Callithrix jacchus: one gene and its partners. The protein of the gene in region 3 interacts with the protein of the main gene of each other region in a pairwise test. Links are inferred from orthologs where the notes say so. Each region holds a gene or a part of one and is shown on either strand. Other genes may lie near its edges.

Region 1 (5,850 bases), on a different chromosome or scaffold from region 3:
GAATTCTTATTATAAAATGGACCAATGCTATTTGCACAATACATCACTTACCTAAAATCTGTCAAGAAGGCATCACTGATAACAATGCTCTGCTGGTTGTGGAAAACATAATGGCTTAAAAGCCCAGGCTCTGGATTCAAAGTGCTGTGATTAAATGCTAGCTCCTTCTATACCTAGGGTGTCATCAGTTCACCTTTCTAAGCCTCTGTCTCTTCACCTACATAGAGGAGTTAATACTATTTATCATTAGACTATTATAAGGATCATATGGAATTATCCATATCAAGTACTAAATATGGTATCTATCACATTAAAAGAGTTTAATAAATTTTAAATATTATTACTGAAACAATAATATGCCTTCTAAGTATGATTAGTCCCATGGATAGTACTAATGTCATACTTATTTACACTAAGTACTGAGCTTACGCAAACACATTCTATTGCTTTTACTTACCTCCAAATCCCATGATAGTTTCTTACTAGATGTCCTTAATAAAAACATTAATTAAAATTGGATCCCTGATTTGTTTTCACTTTGAGGAAATGAGTCATTATGAAATATATGGTACAAAAATTATGCAAATATACTGTGCTGTATTTTTTTTTAGAAACAAAATTAACAAAATTTGAATTCTAAGCTATAGTAAAACCTCCCAAGTCCTTTTTAAATGGAAGTATTTATTTCCACTTCAGCTACAAAAAAAAAAAAAAATATTTGTTGAGTGCATGAGTATCACAATTTTTAAAGCAGGAATGTATATTATTAAGTTGCAAGTAATGACTAACAATTTAAAAAATAAGTTTAAAGAAGAATACAAATTTTAAAATATAAATTATTCATATAGATACAGATATATGTTTTCCATAAGTTTTTAAAGCTATGCCTTTTAAAACTTTTAAACATATAATTTATTTGAAAAAGAATGTTGCTTTGCATAGTTGCTTTCAAAATCATATCCTCAAAATGCTTTATTAGTCACAAATAAAAAAGAATAGTAGGACATTTGAGGAACTCTGCATATAAAGGAGAAAGAGCATTAGGCTTTATGTCCCAATTCAAAAATGTTATAATCTAATGATTGATGCGTCTTGATTTTGGCTCAATTTATTTCTTATACCTACAGGAGCTACTTTATATTTAATAACTGACATCTAACACAGAATGATAATTGAAAGAAAATAGAATGCTTCATTGCTTATAAATTGTAAACGCTTGAAATAAAACTTTGATTCATTCTCTTTCTCCTGTCTGTCTGTCTCTCTCAGGTCGAGTTTTAGCTCAGGCGAGTGGCAATGGTGTTATCCATTTGCTAGATCTTAAATCTGGGCAGATTCACAAATTGCTGGGCCACGAAAGAGAGGCGCACACGGTTGTGTTTTCTCACGACGGGGAGATTCTGTTTTCTGGAGGATCTGATGGCACAGTTCGAACGTGGTCTTGACCGTCAGCATATCCCGCTGCGGAGGGTATTCCCTTTAAGGCTTGAAAATGCCTCCTGTAGTCCCAAACCAGTAAATAACTGGTTAAATGTGCCAGCAGGTAACATTTACAGTTTGCTTTAAAACGTGCTTTGGACATATATTTTAGTGCTCAGACTGTTACTAATAAAAAAATAACTTTATGCTCACTCATTTGTGTCGGGGTCTTTTTTCTCTCTCGTTTTGATCAGAATTTAGAGACACGTCTTTGCTAGGGGTTTTGAAAGAAACAGCTTTACAATGACGCCTAATGACAGACTAGATGAATTACAGGAGATTGATTTTTAATGTTAGAGAACAAACTGCAGGAAAACCTGCTACTTTTTTTTTCTTTTAAAATCAGATCCAAGCTGCAGGAAGAACTGAAGTTTAATCATGCAGCACCGGGCAAGTCTTTCTGCTACCAAAGGGTCAAATAGAATCGACGAGCGTACGTTTTTACAGATTCTTTGACAATGATTATGCTTTATCTATTAATAATAATCAGGGACTGCAGATAGCTTAAATCTAAATGCAAGCCTTTTCCGGAACTTTCATCTCTGCAGCCCATCCAAGAATGCGTTAGGTATAATTACAATTTTTTAGAAAAAAAAATTTTTTATTTGTAATTTCAATGCAAATAAGTATCTCGCACATAGAATGCCTTTACCACTCCTGATGCACGCATCCGCTGTATAAAGTGCGACTGCTTGGAGAGCACTCTAGCCTCGTCTAAAGCAGCTCGGGGATTTCGACAGAGCTGGGCTCAGAAGCCAGTTGTTGGCGCTGTCCGTGGTGCTGAGGAATTCCCGGCTGCCGGCAGAATGAGCTCCAAATCAGCAATCTGCAAACTGCTCTCAGTGATGCAGAAACCCAGCTAAAGTTGCTCCTTTCCTTCACGTCCACAGTTAGTATGTTCCGGCGTGTAATAGGGGATTCAAGCAACATACTGTGAACGATGGTGATGGTACTGCCAGCGGAGTGGGCTTTAAGCTATAGCATGCTGTTGCTGTTTGTGATCCTCAGAGCCTAGCCAAATCACCTCTACTGCCGTAGCAAACACTGTGTAAGTGAACTCATGTGTGGAGGAGGCGTAATCAGCCGGGAAATTTCATAGAAGGATCTAAGAAAATGCTAAAAATAAGTTCAACATGATTCTGCTACTGGGGTCTGGATTTCTACAGGACCAGCATTGCTTCTTTCTTTGAATTCTGAAGACCAGTCCAAAGCAAATTTCTTATGTGTGTCTGCTGTGTTTCTTTCTGGAAGGGCGGGAGACTGCTTCTTTACTGTGTTTTGAAATGGGAGGTAGAGAGAATGGATTGCCTTTAATTCATGCCTAAAAATGTATTCTTTGGGTAATTAAAGAAGAACTGCTTTCCTAAAACATACCTGACCTTTTAGTTCATTTTGGGCTGTGACCCCTACCTCCACCATTAACCTCCAGAGTGATTAGGTAAGTGTATCTTACGACATGAGTTATGTTTGTTTTCTCAAAGAAATAGATGCAGTCATTTTAAATCATATGTAGCAATATGGGGAGGGGGGGAAAGTTAAGATGGGAAGTGATCCTCAGTTTAGCAATGTTTGCTTTCTTATTAAACATCTTCAGATACACATTATATTTGATTTCTCCAATGTTTCTTCTCTTAAATAAATAGTGTCTTAAATTGTAGTAGGGCAGCTCAATTATGAAGAAGCCTTTTAAAAAATAGCCTAAGAACTTTGTTTTATTGAAAATAAAAGCTTGTTTTTTACCATGCAGATTTTAAGATATATTTCACATAATAAAAACATATTTAATGTTTATATGAAGTAGATATTACATTCCTATTTTACCTCTAAGTTTACATTTACCATAACCTAACACATTAATGCCTACCTGTGGCTTACAAAGAGATCATTTTCTGTCTATGTCCCTTTGAAGCAGAATCGTATGTGTATTTTATATGGCTTATCTTGCATGTATTGACAGATACTGCTAGAATATTATAAGGAAGCACAGCAGCTTTCTTTTCCTCTAAGGTAAACTTTGTAAATATGTGATGTACAAATGCTTGCTTTAATTAGTAAATTATATTTATGCTTTTTCAGAAGCTTCTGTTATGTTTGTTATATCTGTAGTAATTTGAGAGGAAAAAAATGCTTTGTCAAAGGGAGCTTCCAGATTCTCAAGTAGAATTATAGGTTTGCATTTTCTTGTTCTGTCATGACTCATTATTTTTGACATATTTTATAAGAAATCATCTGCTTTATTATTGCCTACTCAAAGGGAATTCTAATATCAGAGGATATCAGAGGAATTCTAATATCAGCTTTCTCTGAAAAGAGAGCATACTACCTTCCATTTTACTATTACTAGAATTTGCATATTTACCTTAAAATGCAAATATAATATGTTTATGAAGTTTCCTAATATCACTTTATAGTATTTTAAATTATCATCTGTATATGTTAAAGTGAAAAGAGATGGTTTTCATTGCTCTTAATATAATCTGAAGATGAACCAATAGATAACATTTATAACTGACCTGAAAATGTCCTATATACAATCTTAGTAACATTGGCATGAAGCCAATCACATTTAAATAAATGAATAAGCTATTTGACAACAATTTTTCTTATTTATTACTCCCTAAAGTCACAGTTTTCCCAGAGCCTCTGTGTGAGCTAGTCATTCTAAATATTTAAATAAGAGCCCACTCCCAACACTTCACATCAAGTACCAGTACTAAGTGGTATTTACAAGAGTCAGTGTCACGAAATTAATAAGTCATATTTTCTATGAATCGTTAATAATTACTGTTTTAAGCAACTTCCATAAAGTTTTAAGCTGACATCTTTGTGCAAATGGCCTACAAGCAAATATTTTTGACATTTCAAGAGTTATGTTTTCAAGAACTCAAAAATTGTAACTATATTATATTGAAATGTTTAAATAATACTATGTATCCACTAGATTTAAGTTACTGTGAAATAAATGTATAGATAGATCTCTCCTGTCCACAAGGAGCTTACTTCCTATGTAAAATAATGTGGACAAGAATACAAATACATTTGTTTTTAACAATTTCTTTTAAGCACATAGAATTCTCTTGTATTATTTTATCTCTATTTCAAATTTTCTCTTGTATTATTTTATCTCATTATTTCAAGTTTTTTTTCTCTTGATCGCTATGGAATAGTCATGCTGTTTTTGTTATTAACAATATTTCAAAAATCCAGATTCATGTTCACTGAAATAGGCAACTGATGTTGATACCATCGTTGTTCTCCCATTATGGGCATAAATAAAAAACCCTTTATAGTAGCTTCATCCTAATTACAATTTACATTCAACTGCTGGTTTATTCCTTTCATTTTAGAATTTGATTTTTTTTCACTAATCTCTTGAGTTGATACAGATGATTACAATATATGTTCCATCACTGACTAGTCCAGTTTAAAGAATAACAGAAAATGTGAGTTCAAATATTCTTGAGCTATTTGTAAGTTACTCCTTGTAATCACCTTTTAGGGCTCAGTAAAACCATTTCTTTGCAATCTTGACAAAGCCAGATGTTTGAAATTCAGAAGGAAAATTCAAGCTGAAGTTTCCCATATAAAATAATCCAAAAGGACAAATTTTAATGCATATATTGCCAAGTATCAACTCTCTAAACTTCACAGTAAGGCATAGATAGTTGCATGAACTTAGTCTATTTGAAGTCTTAGTGTCTTCCAATTGATCCCAAACAGTTTAGGGGCATGGACTTAAATGAATCTATCTTCACTTTATATATGTCAAATTATTTTTTTTAAACATTTATTTTCAGCCTACCCCTCTTGTATTCTCATGGAAGAAGCTGAGTATATTTAATATTAGGAGCACATCCAGAAGTCTTTGAAGAGGGGGATGGCTCTTCATATTCATGAAGCTTACATACTTCTGTTGGTAATCCCTGGATTGGTCACATCTGCTGCTATCAGTCATGAAGACTATCCTGCTGATGAAGGTGACCAGATCTCCAGTAATGACAATCTGATCTTTGATGACTATCGAGGGAAAGGGTGTGTCGATGACAGCGGCTTTGTATACAAGTTGGGAGAACGATTTTTCCCCGGGCATTCCAACTGTCCATGTGTCTGTGCTTTAGATGGACCTGTTTGCGACCAACCAGAATGCCCTAAAATTCACCCAAAATGTACTAAAGTGGAACACAATGGATGCTGTCCTGAGTGCAAAGAAGTAAAAAACTTCTGTGAATATCACGGGAAAAATTACAAAATCTTGGAGGAATTTAAGGTATGCGTTACCCTCCGTATTTATTGAATATTAACTTTTCATACCACGTGCTTAGTAAATTGCTACATTAAAGCCAGAGTTGGAAAAATGTACTTTTTAATTTC
Region 2 (5,898 bases), on a different chromosome or scaffold from region 3:
ATTGGTGTTTCGGATGGCTCTGATCTGATCCAGAGACAAGACATGTACTTGCTGGGTGAGGGTGTCTCTAGGGTCGGGCTCTCCACGCTGTCTGCCACCGTCACGGGGCGTCTGCAGCAAGGGCTGCGACCCGTTGCCACTCTGAGCTCTGGCCTCCATCAGGTTTTGGAAGTGTGGTCACTCCAGCAGGCTTAGAACACATCTGAACTCCTGAGGAAGCCAAGAGGAAAGAACGGTTTATACTCTAAGATCCTTCCCACTCTCCGCCCACCTGAATTCACTCCTCACTTCCCACTTTCCCTAGAGAAACAGGATTTGAAATGGAATGACAGTGGGGAGGTATTAGCCATATGATCAATGACGCATGTACCCAAGTGAAAATTATGGCTGGCTACTGACAATTCTGTAATCCCGTGATGTACAACAACACAAAGCTGATCTTTGTTTTAGTCACTTAAGTAAGAATTCCTTATTCAAATAAACATACAGTTTGCAAGGTTCAGGTTCAATGTAAAAATCGCAAGAAAGTTTTGCTGGAATATAACACTGCTACCAACGTTTTCAGAAGTTGAAAATTCTTTCAAAATGTGAAATAGGTTTCCATTTCTCATGGTCGTTTCGCCTTAAGCATTAATAATGTAGCCTAGAAGATTCTTGGTTGTTAGCTTTTGCTTTTACAGCAAACACTTTATGACTTATCCGGTATTCTGTAACTTTTTCAAACCCAATAGAATGGATATGGCATGCAGAAAAGCAAAATGCCCATCAAGAACAATTATAAATTTTACAATAATCATGCTTTTTTTTATTAATTGTACTGTAGCACAAAGTTAGAGAACAAAAAGCAAATCAAATCCTATTGGGTGCCAGAAACACGTTAAAGCAAACTTACGCAATAAACAAGAAGACAATAATTTATTTTCAATTTCTTAACCATTTGAGAATTAAGTATTTTACATTCTGTTAGCCTAGAACACCACCTTGGATTCTGCAGCTGAAAGGTTGTTCTCCCTGATTTAGAAATAAAGCATGTCAAAAGCTCAACTAATTTTCTCTTTTCAAAAAAATTAACTGAGAACACAAACGAAGTCATAATAACCAGAAAAGTGTTTTAAAAATTCAAATGTCACATTTCACACCCAGCATTGTCAAGGAATTCCTTAAATTGCAGTCCCTCTTAAATTTCAAACGGATCACCCCCTTTCTCAAGCCTATATGACAATAAAAAGTATAAAACATGCAAAAGTGGACCTTTATCCAATCTCCGCTCTTTAGAATAGAGACCACAGCGAACAAGCCAGGTGACAAACGTCTCCCAGTTCGGAGCAAGGCAGAACTGGAAACCGGATCTCCTCACCTCCAAAGAATGGCAGAAGACAACCCTGCCCTATGCTTTCACTTAGTTTAACGCCTCTCTGCGCCCCAACACCGTCCCCAGCAGGTGGGACACAGCCGATCTCCAGGGGACGTTTCTCCAGGAGGACTGACGCTGTCCAAGGGCCAGGGTGCCCCCCCCTCCTCTTACGATCCCCAGACTCACAGACAGGCGGGGGCCGCGGGCGCCTCCGAAGGGGACGTGTCACGAAATGCAGGAGCACACTTCCCCCGCCTCCTTCTCCCCAGCTAAGATCTCCCCCAACTCGAGAACTGCTTTCCAGCCCCAAGGAGCCGCTGCGCCCCCAGGCAGAGGTCACGCCGCCCACTGCCAGGCTTTCTGCAAAGCCCCTCGGAAATCCGGCACAGGTTTCCCACCCCGACACCGCAAGCTCCAAAGCCCTGCCTGAGACAAGCAGCCGGGACGCGCAAGTCCAACCCACGCACACACAGCGACTCCACGCTGCACTGACCTAAGTGGACATTGCCTGTGATCTGCACACGCCTATCTCCTTTCGGGTCGAGAGAGAGAGAAAAAAAAATATCATTATTTCTTAAAGTGAAAGAAAATTTGCTTTTTTAAAAAAGGGCATTTTCCAGGGCCCCACTGCTCACTCCGGGCGTGCAGGATCCAGCTCCCCGAGCTGTAACTTTCGGTGCAGATTTGCTTGCAGTCAAAGTAGCATCTTTGGAATAAAAGGAGGCTTTTCTAGTTTTATTTTTAAGTGATTTCTGCCGATCCGATCCCTGGCCTCCTCCTTCGAAGCTCCACTCCCCACCTCCGCCCCTCTTCTCTTTCCCAGTCCCCCCTCCCCTTTGAAAGTGCTTTGAAACCCCCATTAAGAACAGTGTGTGATCAGACTAAGGATTAGGGGGAACGAACTTCAGCTCTAGGGTGGGGCAAACGGACACAGAAACTGCTTTGTAAAAAACACACAAGATTCCAAATTAAAACACAGCAACAACAAAAGGAAATACAAAACTGCCTCTTTTGCCACCTACTTTCAGGTAATGGAAATGATAGCGACCATTTGATGACTTTCTTCCTGCGCTGGGTCAGACCGAGCTTCCAAAAATAAAATAAGTGTGACCCTGGCTGACCACGAAGGACGGAAAAGAGAGAGAGCTGCACTTCCGAACCGCAGAGACCCGGCGCCAGGCAGGGCAACGCTCCCACCCGCTCCGGGCTAGACCGTCCACACGGAGCAGAGGCGGGGACTCCCTCCACCCGGCAGCCTGCCTTTTTCTCACCCTCAGGGTCTCCTGCCCCCGAGGTGAGCAACCTGCGTCCCCCAGTCCCACCGGCGCACCGCCTAGGGACAGCCTCACCCCGGACTTTGCCTTCCACTGAGAAGAGGAACAGGTTAGAAATGCGGGCGCCTGCAAAGGCGACCCGGGAAACACAAAGTGCTTTTCTCTCCCTCTCCCGCTCTCAGCGCCGAATTCGCGGCCAGTGCACGGCTGGGAGCGGGCTTCAGGCGAGCGGTCCTCAGTCCCAACCCCCTAGAGCGGGGGCGCGCGGGATCGCCCGCCGGGGACCCTGCACCCGGTGCATACACAAGTCCCCGCAGAGGCAGGCCGAGCCCGAGCCCCAGGACAGGTCCGCGGGTAATGCCCCGGACCCTCAGGGAGACCCTGCGGGACTTGAGAAAGGGAGGCTCGGGGACACACGGACCCAACTCCCGGTCCGGCTGCACCTACTCCATGTTGCCCAAAACGCGCCGGCTACGGCGCCAGGAGGGGAAGAGCCAAACGTGCCTCACCGTGATCGCGGCTTTGCACCAACCCCTCTCCCTTGGATTCTCTTTTTTTCTACGATGTGCAAATAAATCCAGTCTCGATGCAAACTTTTTTCCTTTCTTTCCAATCTGCTTCAGTCCAACTTCCGAGCCATCGGCGGGAGAAGAAAAAATAGAGGACAATTCGGAGCCAAATTCCCTGCTGATGAACACTCCGGGGTTCGGGGCTGGAGACGACCCCCCTTCTAGAAGCGCACGCGGAGTATTTCCTCTTTTTTCTCAATGAACAAGAGGCCGAAGCGCCAACGGCAAGTCCTTTTTCCTAGCAGATGAGCGAATGGGAAAAGAAAACGGCCTCACAGAGAACCTAAAGCCAGATCGCCAAGTGGTGCGGCCGGGGCCGCGTCGTAGCGGAGACAGCGCGGGGGCGCGGGCCGGGCCGGGCGGGCGCGGGGGCCTGGGCGCTGCGCGCTCCGCCGGCCCCTCTCCTCCGCTAGCGCTGCGGCGCGCAGCTCTCGGCGGTGCAGACTGGGCGTTGTGGAGGCGAGGCAGCAAGGCCGAGGCGGGGGCGGTGGGTGCGGAGGAGGAGGAGGAGGAAGAGGAGGAGGAGGAGGAGGGTCTGGGGCCCGGCCGGGGGGGGCTCGCCGTTGGCCTGCGCCCTCGCCTTTCCGGAGGAGGCAGGGAGCGCTGCGGCGGCCGCGGCAGCAGTAAATGGCGTCATGTGGATCCGAGGCGGAACAGAGCAGTTGTTGTCCCAGAGGATATATCGCATCCGGTCCCAGCTCATTGGCTCCGCGGGGCTACATTCACTCACACTCCAGCGCCCGCCAGCGCTCCGAGCCGCAGGAGGCATTCAAAAGGGCAACCGCGCCGCCCCGCGTGTCCCCAGGCCGGTTCTGCCGCCCGGGCACCGTCACGCGGGGCGCCCGGGGGGCCAGGCTGGGCACGGCAGGGTCAGTTTATCTAGTTTCAAGGAAACACTGACCTTAAGGTTTCCCCAGAGGCACCGAGGACGAGCCCGAGGCTCGAGCTAACTTAGGGAACTTTCTCTTTGGCACCAGGAAAGGAGAATGAATATTTAAGACTAATCCAGGCCACGCAGTGTTAGCATGAAAAACAAGTTGCAGGTTCTAAGACTTTATCTGGAATCCATTTCAAGTCTACCTCTCCCCATTTCTGTTCCCCTTTGCGGATGGGGTGAACCCGACTGAGGCCGGAGGAGCAGAAGGGGGAGGGGAAGGGGAGCGGGAAGTGAGGTGGGAGGGCTATTGGTTTATTCTTTGTCTACTGGATTAACCCGATTATACACCAGGCACCAGCACAAACCGCCTCCCCCACCTCCGAGCCTTGTACAGGAGGAACGGAATGCAGATTCGAGTTTCAAGTACCTTCTGCTCTTGCTGGGATTTGCTTTTGATTGTGTCGACTCGTAGTTTTTCCGTTTATTAGAATTTCATTTTTAAGGGGGGTTATCTATGTGTGGAGGCTTGTTGAGGAGTTTCCTTACTGTTTTGCTTCATGCAAAGCTAAAGTTTACCGTCTAAGCCTTTTAACTTAATTCATTAATAGACACAAACATGATTACTCAGGGCGACAGCATCGGCTTCCGAAATGGGGGGGCGGGGGGGGTGAGGGAAGGGTTGGCTCACTGTTTCCCTACAAATTTCCTCCTTCCCTTAACTAGAAGTCATCCTTCGTTTCCCACTTTTCTTGCAAGATCCTGTTGTCAGGTTGAAGGTGTAGTATTCTTTCCCACTTAAAAAAGATAGAAAAATGCATACCTATGCACTGCCCTACCTGCTGTTCATTTGCTGAGAAACGTGTCTGCACGTGGGAGCACCAGTGGAAAATTAAAACTCGCGCATACACACGCCTAATATTTCATTCTATCGAACCACTTACAGAATGCTTTTACTTTACAGGGAAGTACCTGCTTGTACGGTCAAAACTCCCGAATAGCACCTGAGATCTTGCCCCATGCAGGGTGTTTTTGAAAGCAGTGTTAGGAAAACATGGTGCTTTCATTCGCCCAGCTTTAACCCAATCCACTCGCAGCCACCCTGGAACTAGCCGCCGCCTTGTGAGCTCGTCTCTAGAATGTCTCCAGCGCGCTCTCTGCCTCGCTGCGCTCTCACCCTGCCTTCTCCATGTTTCTCTAGGGCTCTCCTCTTTCTCCAGGGATTTGGAACCAGAGATGGCAAGGGACGTAGCATGCGTTATTTCCGGGCGCTGGCCTAAGTCCCCCGACCCCTGGGGTGAGGGTGGGAGAGGCTACTACGGTCTGCTCCGGGGCGTCCTCGGGCTGCGGGCGCAGGACAGCTGGGCCTCTCCAGCCACAGCCGCTCGCCAGACGCCCGAATCCTTTGAGCCGCCAGTGAACGCGGGCGCCGAGGCGCTCGCGGCCCATACGGTCAGCAGGGGGCGTCCGCCCGGCGCAGGGCGGAGGCTGCTTTCTTCTCCCGGACTCGACGCGCGCCAGCTGGGTTACCTTCCAAAACGTGCGTGCGTTAGACAGGCTGGTTTAAAATGATACAGAGATATTCATAATATAAACGACGCAAAAGGTAGCTTTCCCTCCTGTCTGCTCGGACACATTCCATTTTGGACGCGAGATGAGGCGCCTGGGTTGGGAAGTACCCAAGCTTTTACCAACGGGAAGGAGCTGAGGGTCAAAGCCGGGTGGTGCAAGGCTGGGCGGGAACGCGCTGCCGGTGCGCTGCCAGCAAGTTTCTCCAGCGGAGCAGGTGAAAGCAGCGCCTTCTCTTCTCCTCTTCAAACTCCGGCA
Region 3 (5,739 bases):
GTTGCTTTCTTTAAACTTCACCACAAATCACAGCGGCTCGGAGCCGCGGGCGGCTGACTGCGGGCCTGGCGGGCTACTCCTGGTAGGGGCCTGCGCAAGCCTAAGGTGTGTCCCCGCCTGGGTTAGCGCTGCGCTATGCGCTGTTTCTTTTCCTCTTAAAGCTTCTTTCTCACTCACTCTTTCCCTCTTTCTCTCTCTCATTTTTTCCCATTTCTCTCGTTCTTTTATTCAGCTTTCTCTCTTTATCTCCCTTTTGTGAATGGGCCGTGGTTTCTTTGTTCTGGAGAGAAGCGCCCGTGTCGCTGACTTTTGTGAACCAGAGAAGGATCTTGTAAAACCTCCTTTTCTCCTTCGTACGCCCCCACTCCCACTCCTCCTCCCCTGCCCCCTTGATTAGATGTTCCCTCATCGTAAAAAAAAAAAATGTAATTTCGTTGGTCTGGCGGCCACTTTCTTTGAACATTAGCTCGCTTTCAGCTCCAACTTCAATTAGAAGGAGTTGATTTTGAGAGATCAACAAAAGAACCGACCAAAGCCTTATTAAAGGTCCTAAGAAGATCTCCCGGGCCCTTTGAGAAGCAGTTAAGGAAACAGTGTGCCCTCCATCATATTCTGTTACCGTATTTTATTCGGACTCCAAAGGAAAGTGTCGCTTGGGGGAGGGGGAAGCACTTTGATGAGCGGCGGCCGCGGCCCCTTTTCACTCAGCGGGCTCCCCTTTCCTTCTCCTCCTTCTCGCCCAGCGCCCGGTCTGCTCTCGGCGCCCGACCCCGCGGCCCGGGCTGCGCGGGTGCTCCCCACTGCGATGCGCCTGGAGGCTCCTTGACTCGCCTTCACACTTACTCCTTTGCAAACTTTTTACTACTCCTGTCGGGGTGAGGGAGTAGGAGATTAGAAACAAGGGGTAGAAATTCCTCGAAAGGTAATAAAGTGCCTAATTTTCAGGAGGAGGTGCCATTTAAAAGATTCGCCTTACTCGGAGTTGGGACGAAAACACTTTTTTTGCACTTTGAAAAGTCCACCCAGGTAGACGCGTTTGGGAAGTTTGTTCGGCTAGGAAATGGGCTTCACATATACGAACAATCCGGGGAAATCGCCTCAAGGAGGCTCCTTACGCAGCATGTGGAAAAAAAGTTGAGGGCAGGGGTCTGTGGCCACATTTTTCATCTAAAAGTCCCTGTTAGAGGGAGACTAGGAAAGACAGAGTGTGAAAAAGAAAGTTTCCTAGCAAAATGTTTGAATTAAGAAATAGGGTGTGTGTGTGAGGGGAAGAGGACGCTGGGTTCCAATGTTTCAGAAGAAGCGCTTAAGACTTGTAAACACCCTTGGTGGGGACTGGGAACCCCGGGAGAGGCCGACGAGCAGGTAAGTGGCGGCGCCCTTCCAGTGGGTGCTCTTCTCAGGCGCGGGAGTCCCGAGGCGCCGAAGAGAGATCTGCGCGCCCGGAGCTGCTCCCGCGCTCTGCAAAGTAGCCTGTGCTGGCACGAGCCGCCCGCGGCGTCGGTCTCAGGTGGCGGCGCAGAGGAAGGAAACGTTGGGGCCCGCGGCGCCGGGAGAGGGGCAGACGCCCGGGCTCTTCTAGTCCGCCGCCCCCGAGTCCTGGCGCCCACATCCGGGCGGCAGAGCCTGGTAGTGCCTCGGAGAGCGAAGGAACCGGTTCTCCAGCACCTCGCGCTCTCCGAGCCACTCCCTCCAGAGCGCCTAAAGCGCGAGAGAAGGGCCGGGGGGCCCAGGGCAGGCTTGGGGACCCGCGGTCCCCTCAGCGGCCAGGACTCCGGCTCTCCGCTCGCCTTCCTCGGCTAGCTCTGCGCCGCTTTTGCCAGCCGAGTTAGCGCGCGACCGGGGCGGGGCGGGCGGGCGGGCGGGGAAGGCGGGGAGTGGGGGGCGGGGGAGGGCGGGGGCGCGCGGAGGTAACCCCCGGCTCGCGCTGCCATTGCCCGGCTCCCTGTCACTCAGCCCGCGCGGGGCCCCCGATTGGCGGCCTAGCCCCGTTACGCACTCGCCTCGCGTTCACATACCCGGGGAGGGCAGTAGAAAGGTGATCAATCTTCATCAGGCTACATTTCCAATCACCTAAACAACCGAGCAAGACAAGCCACTCCGACAAGGTAAATCGCTTGATTTATTTAGTTTGCAAAGTGACTGTGCAGGACTTCCCAGTCCCCACTGCCTCCACGTTGTATCGGGAGTGCCGCGGCAACGCCGAGCCACCTCCCAACTCTGCCACTCGAATTACCCCCCTTGCGGCCCCTCGGCGCGATTCCCGGTCAGGCAATGTCCTGAGAACGCGTGGGGCTTAGCAAACAAAGTGTCTGTGCAATAAAGTGAAACCCTTAGGGACACGCACAAAGCCACTGGAAAAAAAGATAGACGTGGGAGGAAAGAAGTTGAGAAAAGAAAGAAACCGGGGGTCCTAGACCAGCCGCCGGGGTAATTCCTGTGCCGCTCTGTTTTGCAGGTTGGCTGCCCGGCGGGTCTCTGTGAGGGATCCAGGTAGATGGTGAACGGCCCCGGCAGCTGAGGGCAGGTAAGGAGAAAGCCGCGGGGCCACCCGGGACTCCGGGAGCGCGTTGGTTACCCTTACCTCCCCCTCCTCAAATGGATCCTCGCTTCCCGGAGCCCCAGCAGGTGGGCGGGGCTGGGGGAGCGGCCTGACTCCCCTCTGGGTGCGCGGAGGACCCCGGGGCGCTGTCGCGGCCCGCCGCCCCCTCCCCCGCCTCCTCCGAAGTAACCGAGCTGAAGTGCTAAGTTTGGAGAAAGTCTTTGAAAACTCAGGCTGCAGCCTCGCAGAGCCGTCGCAGCTTTGAGTCCCATTTTCCTTTGGCCTAAGAGCCCTGGCTGCTTCCCTTCTCGTTCCCTCCCTACAAGCTGGACTCCTCCTCTGGCCTTGGGTCCGAGAGGACGGGGGCAGGAACGGGGCTGGGGGGAGCTTCTTTAACTCCAACTTCTCTCCCTAAACGTCCTAACCCGAGTCCCTGGCCTGCTTCACAGCGATCCCGCAAAGCGGGGTGTAGCGACGGCCCCCTAGAACCCCAGGCCCACTTTCCAGTGCCCCTCCCTGACCCTTGAGAGTGGCGCCTGGGTTCTCGGCAGCAGCGGGGGCAAGGCTTCGACCTCCCAGCTCGGGTCTGCGTGGGCTCTGCCGCTGAGGCCTAGTTCTCTGTTCTCAACAGTGTCCTGGGGCCTCGGGTTCAGCTACTAGGATGGCAGCATGCAACTTGCTGCCCTCTGGCTTCGCAAATCTCAGAGACCCTTTAAGGTGCTGGGCCCCAGCCTTCACCCCCTGCTGGGACCATGTGGTCAGAAGCCCAGACTGGGCAGAGAGAAGGACGGGTGCGCGCTGGCAACGAAGGGCGATGGCCGCAGCTGAGGCGCTCCTGACCTCAGGCCGCGTCTTGGGATCGCCCCCTCTACAGTGTTCCCTTCAGCGTCCTCTGGCCCTCTGCGGCCTGGGCCCGTTGCTGCGGTTGAAGTGTGGTGTGATTCCGCGTCAGCGATTTTTCAGTGGTTGGGCATAGAGAAGTTAGCTGGAATGGTTATTGTGGGCTCTGGGGCAGGGACGCAGCCCTGGACGCGTTAGAAGAAACCAAGTGTCTAGGTGCATAAGAGGTTGAGGTGCAGTTAGTCCTCCACATTGCCTCACCTTGGCCCTTCATAGTCTCTACCTTTTCAAAAACACTGAAACAAAACGAAACAACCCTGCATGCTCTGGGCGCCCTGCCCCGGGCACCAAGTGAACTTTTGTTTGTGCAACATGAAGCCGGCTTCTGCCGGACTCAGAATTTTGCCTGGACTTGGGAGGTTGTACATTCTGTGTTTCCAGCTCTACCTCCCAGCCTGGCCCTGCTTTTAACTTCTTACTCTATGGACTCCCTACCAGTATCTTTGGCCCATTCCGAGCCTAGAGCTAGAGGACCTAGAAAACTTTACTTTTCAAAGCAACTGTGGTTTCTGGGCTAAGTCCTTGTGGAGGCTAGTTGACCACCCTGCGGAGTTCTGTAACCTGCCTTCCCTGTCTATCCCCGGACAAGACTTGAAAGCCAAGTGCCTCCGACTGATGGTTTCCGTGTGTATCGTGTCTCCATAGGCCAGGCCCCCAGACGCATCAGAGCCTGAAGGACTGCGCAGTGGGAGCCCTGCACCGCTCCTGGCCCCGGGCCCCCTGGATCTGTCGGGGCGCCTCCACCCAGCTGTTAGCATGATGTCTTACCTCAAACAACCCCCATACGGCATGAATGGGCTGGGCCTGGCCGGGCCTGCCATGGACCTTCTGCACCCCTCCGTGGGCTATCCGGGTGAGCACCGGCCTTCCGGCCCCTGCCCAAGACTCTCAAATGTTGGGGACCCTCAGACTGTTGGGTTTGAGTGTAAGCTTTGTTGCCGAGCAGGCCCAGGGAGCCGATTGCCTAATCTGTTTACAGTACAGGGCCCACTGTCGGCGCACTGAGCAGACTCGTGGGCGCATGAGGTGGCCAGGGCTGAGAAAACGCCCAACGTGCGCCTTCCCGGCCGGGTCACCGACAACCTTTCTCCTGTTGTGGTCCCATCGCCAGCGCAGAGCGCATTTACCCGCGGATTTGCTAGTAAGGGGCGGCTGATGATTTTCCTTTTCTCCCAACATGGAATGAGTAATCTGGACACTCGTTAGGCCCTGACCGAAGGAGCCAAACTTTCCTTATGTGAAACGGCAGGTGGACTGAAAAAGGAAGATTCTTTCTCTCGAATTAAATTGTCCTCTAAATCAATGTCCTGCACCCATTTTTGCACTGCTGTAGAGGACGACTTGAGTCAAACCCCGGTTTCTTTTTTAGCTCCCACTCGTTTACACCATTTATTTTCTCTGAAAGTGTTTTTCATCTTTCCTACATGAAAGGTGCCTACATCTTTCTCACTCCCTGTCCCCCAGCCAGTGTGTGTGTGTGTGTGTGTGTGTGTGTGTGTGTGTGTGTGTGTACAGGGGAGGGGGGAAAAACTTTTCTTACTTTTTCAACCTCTGGGAGGCAGGGAGAGACGCAGCCCTCGAATCTTGGAGACACTGGCTCCTAGTCGCACATAAGCACTTTCTCCCACCTGTGGCCTCTCAGGCTCGGCCGCCGGAGGGAGTTTCTTTTATTCCCAGTTCGGCTTCTCTTGAGAAGGCCGAGCTATGAACCTGCCAGGGGCTTCCCAGAGTTCACTATCCCTGGTCCGCGTGGCCACCAATGACCCGCGGCGCCCCCGCCTGTCCCCACAGCCACTCCGCGGAAGCAGCGGCGGGAGCGCACCACCTTCACGCGTTCACAGCTGGACGTGCTCGAGGCGCTCTTCGCCAAGACTCGCTACCCTGACATCTTCATGCGGGAGGAGGTGGCCCTCAAGATCAACCTGCCGGAGTCCAGAGTCCAGGTCCGCACTCCCCAGGCTCCAGGGTCTGGGTAGGGGCGCTGTGGCTGCTCGGGGAAGGTCTCGGAAGGCTCCTGGGGAGTTCTGAAGGAGACCGGCCTGCAGGGGTGGGCTGACAGACTGGGCAGCCCCTCTCGGACTCCCCCTAGCGCTGGGCCCCAGCCAGGAAAGGGGGCAAAAGTTAAGGGAAATGGCTTAGAGCCCTAGATTCCGCCCTTAGCCCTAGGACGCCTTAGGTATTGGTATTGAAAGTCCTTTTTAGAATTGCAGGAGGACCAGGGAGGCTCCCGAAAGTAAAGCACCCTGCGGGCCTGACACTTGCCCCTGCTTCTTCGCCTGACCCAGGACTTGGCAGTT

The links.
Region 1: the proteins of OTX1 (region 3) and VWC2L interact in binary tests that used the Homo sapiens proteins (3 or more experiments, as listed by UniProt). The two-hybrid records come from large-scale screens. The link is inferred for Callithrix jacchus from reciprocal best matches to the Homo sapiens genes OTX1 and VWC2L.
Region 2: the proteins of OTX1 (region 3) and SPRY2 interact in binary tests that used the Homo sapiens proteins (3 or more experiments, as listed by UniProt). The two-hybrid records come from large-scale screens. The link is inferred for Callithrix jacchus from reciprocal best matches to the Homo sapiens genes OTX1 and SPRY2.

What each region holds. Positions count from the first base shown.
Region 1 is NC_133507.1:136,203,319-136,209,168, forward strand, and holds the start of VWC2L (von Willebrand factor C domain-containing protein 2-like), read left to right. Parts: upstream 1-2,207; 5' UTR 2,208-2,917; intron 2,918-5,276; 5' UTR 5,277-5,356; coding exon 5,357-5,746; intron 5,747-5,850. Other genes in the region: SPAG16 (sperm-associated antigen 16 protein), read left to right, coding at 1,270-1,445.
Region 2 is NC_133502.1:34,887,211-34,893,108, reverse strand, and holds the start of SPRY2 (protein sprouty homolog 2), read right to left. Parts: upstream 3,644-5,898; 5' UTR 3,138-3,643; intron 2,855-3,137; exon of another isoform or gene 2,377-2,854; intron 2,145-2,376; exon of another isoform or gene 1,990-2,144; intron 1,887-1,989; exon of another isoform or gene 1,848-1,886; intron 1,788-1,847; exon of another isoform or gene 1,252-1,787; intron 211-1,251; 5' UTR 160-210; coding exon 1-159.
Region 3 is NC_133515.1:51,065,484-51,071,222, reverse strand, and holds the start of OTX1 (homeobox protein OTX1), read left to right. Parts: upstream 1-2,040; 5' UTR 2,041-2,108; intron 2,109-2,458; 5' UTR 2,459-2,527; intron 2,528-4,087; 5' UTR 4,088-4,198; coding exon 4,199-4,295; intron 4,296-5,233; coding exon 5,234-5,385; intron 5,386-5,739. UniProt on the Homo sapiens protein: Probably plays a role in the development of the brain and the sense organs. Can bind to the BCD target sequence (BTS): 5'-TCTAATCCC-3'.